Diceros bicornis minor: one gene and its partner. The protein of the gene in region 1 interacts with the protein of each later gene in a pairwise test. Links are inferred from orthologs where the notes say so. Each region holds a gene or a part of one and is shown in the gene's direction. Other genes may lie near its edges.

Evidence for each region.
Region 2: the proteins of MEOX2 (region 1) and RPL15 interact in binary tests that used the Homo sapiens proteins (3 or more experiments, as listed by UniProt). The two-hybrid records come from large-scale screens. The link is inferred for Diceros bicornis minor from reciprocal best matches to the Homo sapiens genes MEOX2 and RPL15.

Annotation. Positions count from the first base shown.
Region 1 is NC_080742.1:42,092,875-42,100,876, reverse strand, and holds the start of MEOX2 (homeobox protein MOX-2), read left to right. Parts: upstream 1-4,934; 5' UTR 4,935-4,996; coding exon 4,997-5,510; intron 5,511-8,002. UniProt on the Homo sapiens protein: Mesodermal transcription factor that plays a key role in somitogenesis and somitogenesis and limb muscle differentiation. Required during limb development for normal appendicular muscle formation and for the normal regulation of myogenic genes.
Region 2 is NC_080741.1:29,068,528-29,076,194, forward strand, and holds RPL15 (large ribosomal subunit protein eL15), read left to right. Parts: upstream 1-4,619; 5' UTR 4,620-4,658; intron 4,659-5,284; 5' UTR 5,285-5,307; coding exon 5,308-5,479; intron 5,480-5,920; coding exon 5,921-6,057; intron 6,058-6,895; coding exon 6,896-7,201; 3' UTR 7,202-7,252; downstream 7,253-7,667.

The DNA of each region.
Region 1 (8,002 bases):
GAACTGTCTCGCTTTAGTGTGCCTGTCCCTCTTATAATTGGATATGTAAAGGAGGAAATTTTCAACTATAAAAATTTGAAATGTGTACTTTAATCAATAAAAATAACATAAAAGGTGAATGCAAATAAAAATGTAGGAATTGAATGTAACTATTCCCCATGTGCATCATTATGAGGTAACATTGTTGAATAATTCTGGGTTTAAAACAGGTGGACAAAAGGAAGTTCAGATAGAAGCTTTTAAAATTTGAGAGGTAGTCAATATCTTCATAATTTTAACACTCCCCCCCCCACACAAAAAGATAATTAGAATTTCATAAAATGTATGTGGAAATCAATGGGAATCATGGAAGGTTGCATATATTTTGAATTTTTAATTAAATTTATGAATTTAATTTTATCAGTCATAATATACATTTCATGCTAGTTTTCTGAATATTATTTACTATATAGTACCTCAATTGAATTGAAGAAAAACACTAATTTCTGAAAGAAATCACAAATGTAGGAAGAGATAGAAATTAGAAAAACAAAGTATGTTGGATGTTTTACACTTTTCAGAAGTAATGTGTAAGTATGCATTTTTTTCTAGTATATGTAGAAATGTAACAAATTTTATTGCGAAAGCAGTAGTTAGTGTTATGTAAAAATAGTTATTTATTATAAAAATCAGTAAAAGTATATAGAATTACTAAATAACAAGAGTTAGCCATAGCAAAATTGTTTTTTAAATTGTACAATGCATAATTCCTGGAGAAAGGCAATTCCTTAGTTTTTAAAAATGGAGTGCATCATAAATCACATAAATTACCTTTGAGTATTTAGCATATTTTAATATATTTTCAAAATTCTTTATTTCAGAAGAACCAACTGAAGGACATAACTATTATTCTTGGAGAAATAGCAGAAATAATATTTTTATCCTCAACAAAACTTTCAGAGACAAATTCCAGTCTCAATTTAATTTTCCATACTTAAATTCATATATCATAACTATATGTTACTAAGGCAAATATATCTAGCAGGTAAAATGCAAAGTAAAGTTTTATGATATCTGTAGCTAAAGATAATATTTAATTTTAAATATTTTATTCCCATCATGCCTCATGTCACAAGTGTATAGAAGAATGACAACTCTTAAAAGAATCATCATGACTCTTAAAATAAATTTAAAAATAAATGTTTCAGATTGCTTAATTTAAATTCTAGTCCCGTTAAAATAAAAGTCTTAATTAAAAAAAATCGCTGCCTTTACTATTGAATATCATTTCATTAAGCAGAAGGAATGATATACATATTTATCAAATTTAAAGAGCCAAGCACATGTTTAAAATAATTTTGATTATGTTTCCTACAAAAGATGAGCAGCTTACGTTTTTTGTATATTGAACCTCTTGTTATAATGTGCTGCTTGATATCAAAACCTTGCAAGAAATATTTGTATTAATAGAACATTTTTCAGGAAAATTCAAGTATATTGTAAATATAGAATAAATACTATATAATATATAGTTTAAAATGAATGCTATAGAAACTCTATAATAAATTTTGTAATTTTTGCCATTCTTCCTGATATAATTAGCCATTAGAGGTAAGAAAGCATCTTTCAACATCAGATTTTATAGATGTGGACACTGAAGTAGCTATCATAGGAAACGCTAGAAATTTTTCCTATTACATTTTGAAAAAATTCTCTATGGCCTAGAAAATAAAAACCCATATTTTATCTTAATCCAAATATTCTAAGAAATGAAAATTTTGAAAAAAACTTTATGGAGTAATTAATATATATTTGGAAATTCACAAAAAATAAAAGTCATATTTAATTCTGGAATGCATCAAGACCTCCTTTTTACTCCTTTCTTCTTTGAATCACACTTTTTTCTCTTCCAAATAACGTTTTCCTTATATTATGCTTTCTGTTAGAAATCTGGACTTCATCATTTTTACTGATATTATACGTTTTGTGTCTTCAATTAAAAAGACCTTTCCTGCTAGCTTTGTTTTAATTACATGCCTTTCAAAGAGACTCCTTCCCTTTCTAACCTTTTCTAATTTTTCTTTCTCAGACTTCTAGCCCCACCATTCCAGAGGCTGGCTGACTGAGGCAGGTTGTAGAGAAATTTCTGGACATGTTGTTAACATCTGACACAGTGAGTGAGAAAAAAGCCAGCACAGTCATCGGGCAGGTTCAAGGAGAAGTGGCAGCTCCTGGAGATGAAAAGTTTGTGTTTGCTAGTTGCTAGTTACCTGCAACACACTGGTTAAATTCAAATCCATTCATTTCCCAATTGCTTCGCCCCTTCCAAACCACTGTAATGCAAACCAAAAGGACCTTTATGGATGTTTTTTATTGATGTGTGCAGATCAAGTGTATCTTTAGTTAGCCTTGTCTGACATTTTCCACAATGCTTTTAGTAGACAGCATTATATTCAGTAAATATTTCTAGTTACTGTTTATGGAGGTGGGTGCCTAAATTTCTCTTTGGATAAAGCCTTTAATGCTTCCACCCAGAATCCATGGAGTAGTTAGTTACCCGAGTTTGGGAAGTTTAGTGTGGCTCTTTGTACTTCAACTTTTAATATCAGAGCACATATTGAAACCATAAACACAATGAAAATTCAAAAAATATTCCGACGATATTAGAAGAATATAGTCCCTCTTTTTTTATCCTTAAAGAGTCAAGGGCATGAGGAGTGGCAGAAAGAAACATTCTTAAGGTCTAAGCCCTGGACGCCATCCTGCGAGTGGTTAAAACCCTTAGAAACGTGCAACCTGAAGAACACCCCCTTTCGAAGTCTAAAGCAAGATTAGATTCCCAAAACATATCGGCAAAGAAAGTCTTACCGTCAAACGCTTGCAGCAGGTTCCAGCTCAGACCCAGACTGAGAAGCTGAGCAGCTGGTGAACAAAAGTTTTAGCTTTTTTTTTTTTTTTTTAACGAAGTCTGCAAAACTAATTTCCCTCAAAATAGGGCTCAATTTCCGTTAAAGAAAGCAGCACTTACAAATCTCAGAATTCCTGATCACTCCCGCCTCACCCCACCTCTAAGCAATGGAAAACAATTCGGACTTACATATGGATGCAAAGCTTTGTTGCGAAGCCACTATTCTGCAGTACGGCTTAAAAGAAAAGGGAGATAGGCTGAAGCCTGAGGGACTGGGCGAGGGAAAAGGTTCTGCCTTGGGGACACTTCTCACAGATTAATCAATACTTTTTCCTAATTCAAGCCAGATGGCTGGCGCAGTTTGCTGTCCCCATTAATCCCATTAACAACTTCAAAGACCTGGTCCCCATCCTCTGGACACCTGAGACAATGAAAATAGCGGGGCGACGCTGCTGGTGGCACATTTGGGGTCCCCCGGCGGGATAGGTGAGCGTCAATATTCTCCTGATGCGACAGGTCCCAGGCGGGACTCAACTGTTCTGCAGCTCATTACACGAGGCTTTCTTGCCTTGTGTAAACAAACGACTCTGCCCCCAGCAGACAGTGTCGCCCCTCAAGCAAGTGGCAGCATCAAAAGTGGCGGTATCAGCCGTCGCTCGCACTAATTCACTGGTGGCAAGTATTCTAATTCATTTTCTATGATGCAAGATTGTAACCAAGGAGACCTAAAGCACCCAGGTATAGTGAACTTTGGGAGATATTCAAGTGCAATATTTTTCAATAAACGGAGCCATGGCATGGGTTGGGGGGAGGGTGGGAAGGGTTGCGATTAGCTGATTTATTTTCCAGCGGAAGAGAGGGTGGATTTCTGGAGGGAAATGAGGGGACATGGGCTGGCTCTTGAGGGAAAAGACTGGAAAAGTGCGTGCAGTATACACATCTCATGTGACCGGGAAGAAATCGCTTCGGAATATTCCTGTCCCAGAAAAAGTTCTTGGTGGACAAGTGTCTAGGAAATTGAGTGGGACCAGGAAAGCAGAGGGGAGGTAATTTGCGGAAAGCAGAGACGACATTTGCGGAAACCAGGGGAAGAGAGTACACACCTGGCACCGCAGGTGAGGATACCAGGGTCTGGATATCGACAACTGCCACCGCCCCACGTTTTCCTCCGACCTACCCCACCAGGTCCCTCTCCTTTTGGCACCGAGACTGGCCTTTTCTTGCCCGCTGGGAACTTCCCTGCAACCTCGGACCTAGCATCCGAACCTACTAACAACCCACCCACAGATACCAGCTGCAAAAAGCTAGGCTCGTCACTTGGTCCAGGGCACAAGTTCACGCGAAGTTTGAAAAACTTCTCTGAGCGCGCGCCAAACTAGCTCTGATCTTCCTCAACTCTACTGCTCCTTTCGTGCTCTTCAAGAGCTGAGCGCACCCCTAGTTCTCCTGCAGATGACAGTGCCAAAGTGGCATTAGCAAGACACCTTTCCTGAGAGAAGTGAGCGGGCCACACACTGGGCGCGGGGTTGCGACTGGCGGGCATCGCGGCGCGCCTCGGTGCACCGAGTCGAGAGGGGAGAGCCAACGCCCGCCGGGGCTGGGGTTTAGGCGCCAGGCGCGCCGCTTGCAGCCTTGGCGGCTGGCGGGGGCCGGCGGGCGTGGACGCGCTGCGTGCGTCCAGCCGGAGATAGGAAGTGGAACTCGGAGCGCGTGGCGCACACTGAGCGGGAGTTTTGGAGGGAGTTTGCATGTGGTCAGCGCTGGCCTCCTAAGCCAGCCCCCAGCTCACATTACACTCTATTTATAACCTCTCAGAGCCGTTTCCCCCTGAAAGCTGTTCTCTGGGACCACCTTCTTTTGGCTTCAACCTCTCCTACTCTTGACATCTGAGTAGTTCGGAGGGAAGCTCCTCCAGGTCCGAGTGTTTATATGTGAAGGAGGCTGGCCGCTGGGGCTCAGGACAGGGATTATCCGAGCTCTGCAGAAACGCGGGCGGTTATTGCTTTGGGAAGGGAAAAAGTCACACGGTTTTCAGTGAAAAGTGACAGAGGGTAGTGGCGTTTGGACTCGTCGTGAAGTCTTCTGCCTGGAACCCGAGACTTGCATGCTATGGAACACCCGCTCTTTGGCTGCCTGCGCAGCCCTCACGCCACCGCGCAAGGCTTGCACCCGTTCTCCCAATCCTCTCTCGCCCTCCATGGAAGATCTGACCATATGTCCTACCCCGAGCTCTCCACTTCTTCCTCGTCTTGCATAATCGCGGGATACCCCAACGAGGAGGGCATGTTTGCCAGCCAGCATCACAGGGGGCACCACCACCACCACCATCATCACCATCACCACCACCAACAGCAACAGCACCAAGCTCTGCAAACCAACTGGCACCTCCCGCAGATGTCCTCCCCTCCGAGTGCAGCTCGGCACAGCCTCTGCCTCCAGGCGGACTCGGGAGGGCCCCCGGAGCTGGGAAGCAGCCCACCGGTCCTGTGTTCCAACTCTTCCAGCTTGGGCTCCAGCACCCCGACCGGGGCCGCGTGCGCGCCTGGGGACTACGGCCGCCAGGCGCTGTCACCCGCTGAGGCGGAGAAGAGAAGCGGCGGCAAGAGGAAAAGCGATAGCTCAGGTAAGGATGCACCAGGCACCCTCGGCGAAAGGGGGCGGAGAGATGACAGGGAGGATTCTCGCACTATAGTGAGGCGGCAGGGAATATGGTACACGTCTTGTTGCCCTCTCTGACTCCCCGTCGCCAAATTCGGCGGGGCTGCTTTGGTCCTGTTATTTGGGGGCACGTGTTTCTCCGAGGGCGACACTGCAGCCAACAGCGCTAAGCCCTCCAAGGTTCAAACTAGTTTACCAGAGAGTTAAGAAAAAAGAACAAGTGACAGTATGTGAAATCGATTGCGAAGCGTGACCTTTCCTCTGAGCGATGGGGAGGGGAGTGCACCCTGGGATGCAGTGTCCGCTGGGCGTGCGTGCGGGTGCCGCTCCTTGACTTTTCCCTTGCAAGTTCCCGACTCCGAGTGGCTCGATTTTTCCCATCGTTAACTGGATTTCCAAATTATTGCACAATATTTGGAACTTGCAATGGAACTTGGCAGAGAGTATGAGAAAAAATAAGTTGTCGTTTTTTGAAAATATTCTGATTTCAGAGTTCTTTAAATAGCAGCCTATTCCAAATGGTAAAAATTTCCCTTTCTAGGGGAAGAAGACATAATCTAGGAATTCAGAGGATTTAAAGGAACGTATCAGAAAATTGTAAATAAATACACACTCAGACTCTTGAAGAGTGATGATTCTTAATAGTAGTTGTATTCGTGTGGTGCTAATTTAAATTTCTAAAGTGGAAAGTAAAATCCTCCTCCAACTGAGTATTATCGGAGACAAGTATGGGGAAACAAACGACAATCCGGGTAGTGCTAGTTCGCTATGTGCCTGAGGCTGGTGTGCGAGGGTGCACGCAGAAGGCGCTGATCTACGTAGGGATAACTCGAGCAGCCACGCAAAACGGGAAGCTTACTGAACGCGGAGGCTTGAAGGCACAGGCTGCCAACTAAATTGAAGCAATTTAGAGAAACTAAAGTTTTACGGACAATTCCTCAAAGCCGTTACTTATCTGTATCATTATGAAGTTGTTAAGATACTTGACGATCAGAGAATTTGTGAGTTTTCTTCTGTAGCTAATAGCGCAACATACGTCCTATCTTTTTGGAAAGGGTCATTTAATATAATATTTACATATTTTTCTTCCTTTGCGGAATTGGTTTAACAGTCCTAAGAAGGTAATTCCAGGTATTGGTTTGAAAGATTGGAAAATGTTTATCCTTTATAATGCTTTAGGTAAGATCCCACATAAATGACAATGATTGAACTGCATATTTCTCATGTGCCTTTGCAGCAATAGTATCATTTGTTCTTCAGTGTTAGTATGAGATGGATTCTTCTATCACAAACTTAAAATCTAACTTTTACTTTACAAGGTCAGAGGTGAACTTTTAATGCTCCATCACAAATTAGTTTATATCTAAGAAAGTTACCAGCAGTATCACTCATTTTTAATGGTTTTTACTAACCATAAGTGAAACTCTCTTAAGACAAAGTTAAAAGGTTAATCATAACAAGAAGGTTTCCATCTTCACCAGAAAAAAAGGTCATTTTTAGAATGCAGTGATCATTTCATAGACTCAGCATTTGATATCAGTGTAACTTTTTTTGGAAGCAGATCCCAGTTCAAATTGGTCAGCAGCACTTCTGCAATTACTAGAAGCTCTTACTGTTCATTTTACTTCTGCAGTGAGAAACCTATGTGATGGATTGTTCCTATGCTTCCTGAACTGAACCAAACACACCTAAGTTTCTTACGGCAAACTGAATGTTCATATAGGCACATGTTATTTTGGTTGGGGAGAAACAGAGAAAGTGGGATCTAAGAACTGGTGGGTTTAATTTAAATTTAAAGAATTTAAAGTGGGTTCCTTTAAATTATTTTAATAACAACTTTCTTAAAAAATTGGTTATATTAATAGTGCAACCCTGTTTTGGTGGGAAATAACCGTATAACAAAATAACTTTATTTTTACATGTTGAAGCTGATAATTAAAGTACTGAAAAAAACAAACAATCCCCAAAGTTTGCATCAGTTACATAAAGTATTAATAGATTACATCTTGAGTGGGAAATACAATTAGTCATCACCAAAGATAGAATCACTGGGGAGTTAGAATGAATATTTTCTTTGATGGGATATTTTGAAAGAACTTTTGACTATTTAAAAGGAAATTTCACAATAGTTTTTGGTTAAATCTATGTATGCTCATTGAAAATAAAATTTAGTGCCAATTTCACTGTTCAAGTTAATTAATATTTGTTAGCTCTCTAGGTAGATTTTAATTCAAGATATCTTTCTCCTGAGATGATATTGCATTTGGTCTTCCATAATTTACGTTCATAGTTATTTCATTTCATAGTATTATAAAGGTATCTTGATATAGCAGAAACTAAAGCAATGGAGGAAATCACTATAATTCTGATATATTATTAACACATAAGTCTCTCATTGCTTATAGCATGGTTTAATATTTAAATATTTCCAAAAAAATAAAATTAAATTAATTTCTG
Region 2 (7,667 bases), on another chromosome or scaffold:
CATGTTAAATATTTTACACCATCAAAAAGAAAACACAGGGGCCGACCCCGCGGCGTAGCGGCTAAGTGTGTGCGCTCCAGTGCTGGTGGCCCAGGTTCGGATCCCGGGCACAGACCAATGCACCGCTTGTCAGGCCATGCTGTGGCAGCACCCCATATCAAGTGGAGGAAGATGAGCACAGATGTTAGCCCAGGGCCAGTCTTCCTCAGGAAAAAAAAAAAGAAGAGGATTGGCATGGATGTTAGCTCAGGGCTGATCTTCCTCATAAAAAATAAAAAATAATAAAAAAAAGAAAACACAGATGAAAGGATAAGTGTGATTAACCAAAGCATAACTCAAACATTCCAGGTTCCTAGTTCTCTTCAAGTGGGAAACTATACTACTACAGGGCTGGCCCTGTGGCTTAGCGGTTAAGTGCGCGTGCTCCGCTACTGGCAGCCCGGGTTCAGATCCCGGGCGCGCACCGACGCACCGCTTCTCTGGCCATGCTGAGGCCGCGTCCCACATACAGCAACTAGAAGGCTGTGCAACTATGACATACAACTATCTACTGGGGCTTTGGGGGGAAAAAATAAATAAATAAATAAATAAAACACTACTACTACATATAAAGTTGAAGATTAGTGACCTGCCACCATCAATTAAAAAGTTTGAATTCTTTAAAAAATTAATATCTAATGTAAGATTTTGAATGAATTACATTAAATACACATACAAAAATAACTTTATTTTCCAAATATGATCATGATGGCGGGGACTCACATTACACATAAGGAAGTGGTTCTTATGCTTATTTATACTCAGATTTATAAATAAAAACTTAGTTCTATAAGCATTATAATATTCCATAATTCCCAAACAGAATAAATATGCGCCATTTCCTTCCAAGTACAAAAAGGAGGCCATCTGCAGTATCTGAACAAGCACTGAATCACATGAATAGATCCTGGAGGTCGCCAAGCCTCTTATGTAAATCTAGGTTTCAAGAGTTTGAAAGGCTCCAGAGTAGATGAAGGACCTCTAAGGTTCCTTCTAACACTGTGATACTATGAGAGCAGAAACTGCTTACCCAGAAACTGCATCAACACTGAGGTTGACACAAAAAGCAGCAGTCAGAGTTACTTATTATAGTCCCTACCCTAAGAAACTGCTGGACAATAAAATTCAATCTGTGACCTATTAATCCTCATCTATGTAAACGACTAAGAGAAAGGTGCTTAACAGGCAAAATCCAATGCAGTCTTAAATACATATTGCTTTGCTTTCCAAACCAATAGTGTTGCTCGAGAATAAAAACATGACCTGGTCAATATTCTCTTTGAAGAGCCATCAGAAACAGCTTCCCCAAATTGTCAGTACTTCTGTTCTTCTAGCTAAAGAAATTATTCTACTTTTACAGGACACAACTTTTTTATGCAACCACAAAAATATTAATACTGAGATACTGTTAACATCATAGAGAGATGTTATAGACAGATCTTATTATGTAAGCATCACATGGGAAAAACTTCTATACTGTGTAGTTATTTATGTAAACATCATGTATGGTGTGCAATACTTCTACTTATCCATATATGAATACATGTTACTTAAATAAACACAAATTAAAAGGCTTTTGCAAACAATATTGAACACAATAAAATATAATAAGCTGATTCTGGATTACCATTCTTTTTTTTTTTCTTGGTGAGGAAGATTGGCTCTGAGCTAACATCTGTGCCCATCTTCCTCTATTTTGTATATGGGATGCTGCCACACATGGCTTGAGTAGCAATGCATAGGTCTGCGCCCAGGATTCAAACCTGCGAACCCCAGGCCACTGAAGTGGAGCCCTCGAACCCAACCACTACACCACTGGCCGGCCCCCTTACCATTCTTTTATTCATTCAGTAAATATTTACTGAGAGCTTACCATATTATCAGGCATTAGGGACAAACTAGGGGGCAAAACCAGATATGATCCCTGCCCTCAGGAATCTCAAAATCAATTGGAGGGCTGGCCCAGTGGCATAGTAGTTAAGTTTGCATGCTCCACTTTCGTGGCCCGGAGCTCATGGGTTCGGATCCAAGGCACGGACCTACACACCACTCCTCAAGCCATGCTGTGGCAGCAACCCACATAAAAAATAGAGGAAGACTGGCACAGATGTTAGCTCAGGGACAATCCTCCTCAAGCAAAAAGAGGAAGACTGGCACAGATGTTAGTTCAGGGCCAATCTTCCTCACCAAAACAATAAATAAATAATCAATTGGAGATACCAATCCAAATCTTGCAAAACTCCTGAGAAACAGCAAACTGCAAATTAAGAAACAAAACTGCAAAAACTAATTAAGAAATTAGCAGTGATTATTCACATTGCCAGAATCTTTTTTCCAAATGATTTGTAGTCAATCGTTCTTGACTCATTTTTCTCACACCCCACATCTGATCCATCAGTAAATCCTCTGCCTTGACACACATCCAACGGGGGACCACTTACAACCTCCATCACTAATGAAGTGGTCTCAGGCACCATCTTCTCTCACCTGGTCTCTCAAAGATGTCTGTGTCATAATTCCCAAAACCTGTGAGTATTTTATTTTACGTAGTAAAAAGGACTTTACAGCTGTGATTAAATTAAGACCCTTGAGATGAAGAGATTACCCTGGATTATCTGGGTGGACCCAATATAATCACAAGTGTCTTTTTAAGAGGGAGACAAGAGTGTCAGAAAGTGAGAGAGAAAGACAGGGATTTGAAGATACTATGCTGGCTCTGAAGATGAAGGAAGGGGTCAGGAGCCAAGGAATGCAGGTGGCCTCTAGAAGCTGGAAAAGGCAAGGAAATGGATTCTCCCCTACTGCCTCTAAAGGAACACAGCACTACCGACAACCTGATTTCGGCCTAGTGAGATTTCTGACCTACAGAACTATAAGACAATAAACCTGTATTGTTTTAAGCCAGTAAATTTGCTGTAACTTGGTACAGTAGCAAAAGGAAACTAACACAACCTCCTCACTAGTCTCTCTGCTTCCATTTTTTCCCTTCTAGCCTCAAAGCTGCAATCCATATGATCTGTTAAAATGTTAAGCCGCACGAAGTCACCCTTCTGCTCAAACTCTTTCCATTGTTTCCAATCTCAGGCAGTTTGAAAACCCAAAGTCCTCATAAGAACCTTCACCTCTCTGACGTCACCTGCTAGTTTCCCCTATGGTTGATTCCAGCCACAATGCCTCCTTGCTGTTCCTCTATCAATCCAGGCATATTCCAGCCTTGGCTCGTTTCCCCCTGGCTGACCCCACTTCTCCAAGGCTCCCATCCTTCATGTCCTTTCTCAAGTGCTACTTCTCAAGGAGACTTACCCTGAACATTCCGTCCAAAATTTCGACCCCCTCCAGCCCAACACTCCCTATCCCTACTCTCCTCTTACTATCTCTCCTTAGCACTTACCGCCGAACATACTATCTATCTTACGCCCGTTTCCAAGAAAGCTAGAATTTCTGCACTGACCACTGCTGCATCCTCAACAGCTGGAACACTGCCTGGCACATATCAGGCACTTCATAAAGATTTGTTGAATGACTCAATCAACCATGTGAGGTCTCTTACAATGGTAAAGCTGCGATTAAAAAAAAAAAAGAGAGAGGAAAATTGGAAACGGGAAAAAACAACCAAAACCACTAATGATTTAGAAGGTAAACATGATTCTCTGAAACCTTGGCCACACTTAAACTTAGAATTCGTTAAGAGAATTAAACCACATGATTGTACCAAAAATGAAAATATTCTGCAGACGCAAAAAAGCTAGTAAACTATTTTTCGACAAGGAACGCAACACAAAATGCCTGCATTTTCTCGGTATTTCTTCCCGAAACATTCGCACCTGCCAACCAGGTCTTGGCAAATAAATATTTTGCTTTTCTAAAGAACTGTGGTTCTGACGTACCAAATCCGTACGCAGAAAAGGCACGGAAATAGAAAGTGGACCAGCCGCCCGCGCTCCCCCTCCCCCCGGACCTCTTTTAAGGGAAAATCCCTCGGAGTTGGGGCCTGCGGGCGGTAAAGCCAAATTGACCCGGGGGGCACGGGACGCGGGCCCCCACCCGCGAAGCCCCCGCACCACGAACGCCTCATCTGGCGGCCCGGGCAGGGTCGCGGGGGACTGTCAGAGCCACCCCGGGGCCCCAGAGTTCTGCGCCAGGCTGTGGGGAAAAGAGGGACCGCGGAGCACCCGGGATCCCCCAGTGAAGCCTCAGGTGATGAGCCCGCATCGGTGAAGCGAACCCTACACTCACGACACAGACCTGTACGCCTCCGCAGACACCGAGGATAGCGGCGAGCCTCGGCCACTGGAGCCCCACCCCCAAATTGCCTCCTCCGGGCGGCGGGGCTGTCCACGACGCTCACTAGCTGAGGCCTCCCCACGGACTCACGCCTTTTGGGTTACCCCTGCCTCTCAAACTCGAACCCTGAGGCGCAGGGGGCGGAACAATAGAGGAGGCTGCGCCCAATCTCGGCCGAACACCGCCCACCAGGCTCTCTGCCGGAACTACATGTCCCATGAGGCTCTGGGCGGCCGCAACTTTCCACCGGAAAGAGGCTCGCTGAAGTGGGGGAGGAGCCCAAAAGGAATTGTGGGAGAAAGGCTCTTTCCTTTCCGTCTGGCGGCAGCCATCAGGTAGGCTGTGTTGGGGAAGTTGGCTACTCCATCCGCCGCTGATCTCCCTTCCCCTCGGCCATCCAGGCTCGGGGGCCCTACGTCCTCGGAGCGTCTCCTGCCTTCTGTGCGACGCGAGTTCGATCAGGATGTGGGGCAGCGCAGACGTGGAGAGGCGGCCCCCGGGGCGGGATGGGGGGGATGTTGTGATGGCGGCGCGAATTCGAGCTGGGCCTGGAGTGTGAAGGAGAGGGAGGCATGGGGCTGAGGGATGGGGCCGGGCCTAGGGCGTCGTAAAGCGAGGCCGGTGGATTAGGTAGAGCGACTGCTTTTTCCTCGAGAGCTGACTTGGCGGCGGCGCCTTCCCCTGTGGTGTCGGCGAGGTCTCTGCAGGCCGGGCCCTGGGGGACGCCGCTTGCCGCAGTCATCCGCCCCCTCAGTGCCCAAGTCGAGCTCCATTCATTCGTTCAGCAGGAATGTGACGAAGGTCTGCCTGCCCGCTGGGGTCGCAGAGGTGGGGTTGGAGCTGGCTCTCCCTTGTGGTTCGTGCAGAGCCATTTTCATTCTCAGTGGTTGGTGGGGAACTAAGATGGACGGACGGACTCTTCTCGTTAGACGTAAAATGGATGATATTTTTTAATATGCAGGTTTATCTCAAAGGTAAGCCGAGATGGGCGCTTACAAGTACATCCAGGAGCTATGGAGGAAGAAGCAGTCGGATGTGATGCGCTTTCTGCTCAGGGTGCGCTGCTGGCAGTACCGCCAGCTGTCTGCTCTCCACAGGGCCCCCCGCCCCACCCGGCCCGATAAAGCGCGCAGACTGGGATACAAGGCCAAGCAAGGTCAGTGGTGTCTGCGTGGATGCCTGGATGAAATTATATTCCGCGGGAAAAGCTGGGAACCGGTGACTAGGAAAACATGCCATCGCCCCGTGTGTTCCTTCACGTAGGGCTTTGGGAGAAACTGTCTTCGGCTGCAACGCATAGAAGTTGTTGGCCCGTGAATTACCGTGCACACAAGTGTCTAAAGTAGCAAGTGTGTCATAGATTACAAACCTGTGTGAGTCTGGACCAAACCACCAGAAGAGTGTAGAGTGGGAATAGAAATTAATCCACAGCTGTGTGATTAACATGAAGCCAGTCAAACTGGTATTAGTTTTATGTCTGTCAGATACATAGTATTGGACTTGTCGCAAATGTAACGGTGTTGGAGCGTAAGTGACAAGTCATTGACTCTTCCACCCTTCCGGCTTTTGTAAGACGGCTGTGAATTTTTTCGTATAGGTTATGTCATATATCGCATTCGTGTGCGCCGTGGTGGCCGCAAACGCCCAGTTCCTAAGGGTGCGACCTACGGCAAGCCCGTCCATCATGGTGTTAACCAGCTCAAGTTTGCCCGAAGCCTTCAGTCTGTTGCCGAGGTGAGTGGTTTTTGAGGAGGAGTATTGGCACCTCCTGGAGATGGTGGAGGAGGATTTCGGCAACTTTTCTGATTGTTTATTTGTAGACAGGTGAGCCCTATTGTGTTTAAAATGGGCTTTGTAGTTTTTACTAATCTTGGTAGAGAGTTGATGTCAGAGACTCTGTCTCTGTTACTGATTTAATCTGTCTTTGCTCACATATACTGCAAAGGGTGCTTTATGATTAGTGTGGACCTGTGGAACCTAAGCTTTTGAAGGGCAGCAAACTTTGTCTTGAAGAGCACATCTCCCCAGGTGTATAGAAGCTGTGCATTTATTTGTATTGCTTTATTTTCTGTGGTCAGTTGTAAGTTTTCCTTCTGGGTTAGTAAATTAAGCTGTGCTCTGTTGTAGAGGTTAGCAAACAAGGGCCCGTTGCCTTCCATGAGCTAAAAATGTTTTTGTGTTTAAAAGACGACAAAAAGAGACCATTGTGGCCTGCAAAGCCTAAAATAATATGCTAAATATTAAAGTTTTCTGTAAAAGTGTGGTGACTTCTTTATTGTATTAGGAAAAGGTTCCAGAATCCTAAATTTTAACATTTATGCCTTGGGGGGGGTAATAAGAGGAAATGATCTCAGATCAATCCAAGGATATTTAAATACGTTGTTTTACTTAACTAAGTCTGCCTTATCATACTTATGGTCTCAGCCTCTGGGGAGATGCTTAGTAAATATTTGAGCAGCTTAGTGAAAGGCCTCGGTCTCACCTGATGGTGAACTAAAGAGAATTATTGCATCCTAAATTGATACTATGGGAAATGTGGGAGGCTGACTTTGGGCCTTTTTTCCTATTCTAGGAGCGAGCTGGACGCCACTGTGGGGCTCTGAGAGTCCTGAATTCTTACTGGGTTGGAGAAGATTCCACGTACAAATTCTTTGAGGTTATCCTCATTGATCCATTCCATAAAGCTATCAGAAGAAATCCTGACACCCAGTGGATCACCAAACCAGTCCACAAGCACAGGGAAATGAGAGGGCTGACGTCTGCAGGCCGTAAGAGCCGTGGCCTTGGAAAGGGCCACAAGTTCCACCACACTATTGGTGGGTCTCGCCGTGCAGCTTGGAGAAGGCGCAATACTCTCCAGCTTCACCGTTACCGCTAATATAAGTAATGTTTGTAAAATTCTTACCTAATAAACAATTTAGGACAGTCACGTCTGCTTAAAAGTGTTCTTTAATTTGTCTTGTTAAAACTAGTTGTCTGCAGTTTGTTTCATGAATGCATTGTCAAATTATGAAAGTTAAAGTGCAATAATGTTTGAAGACTATAAGTGATGGTGTATCTTATTTCTAATAAGATAAATGCCTTTGTCTTTGCTTTATCTTATTAGGGAGTTTATATGTCAGTGCTTAAAATGCTGTTTGGTATAATAGGTGTAAAATAAATTCTGTAAAAGTGCAGAAACTAGCCATGTAGATTTGTTGGTGCATGTGATGAAACCTACAGCTTTATTGGGGTGATGCATTTCTCTGCTGGATTACTCTCAACTGGCTGTTTTTGGAGTTTGGCAAGGACAAAGTTTTTAAATGGATTTTGCTTGGAAATGTAAAGGATATCCTGATTCTCTA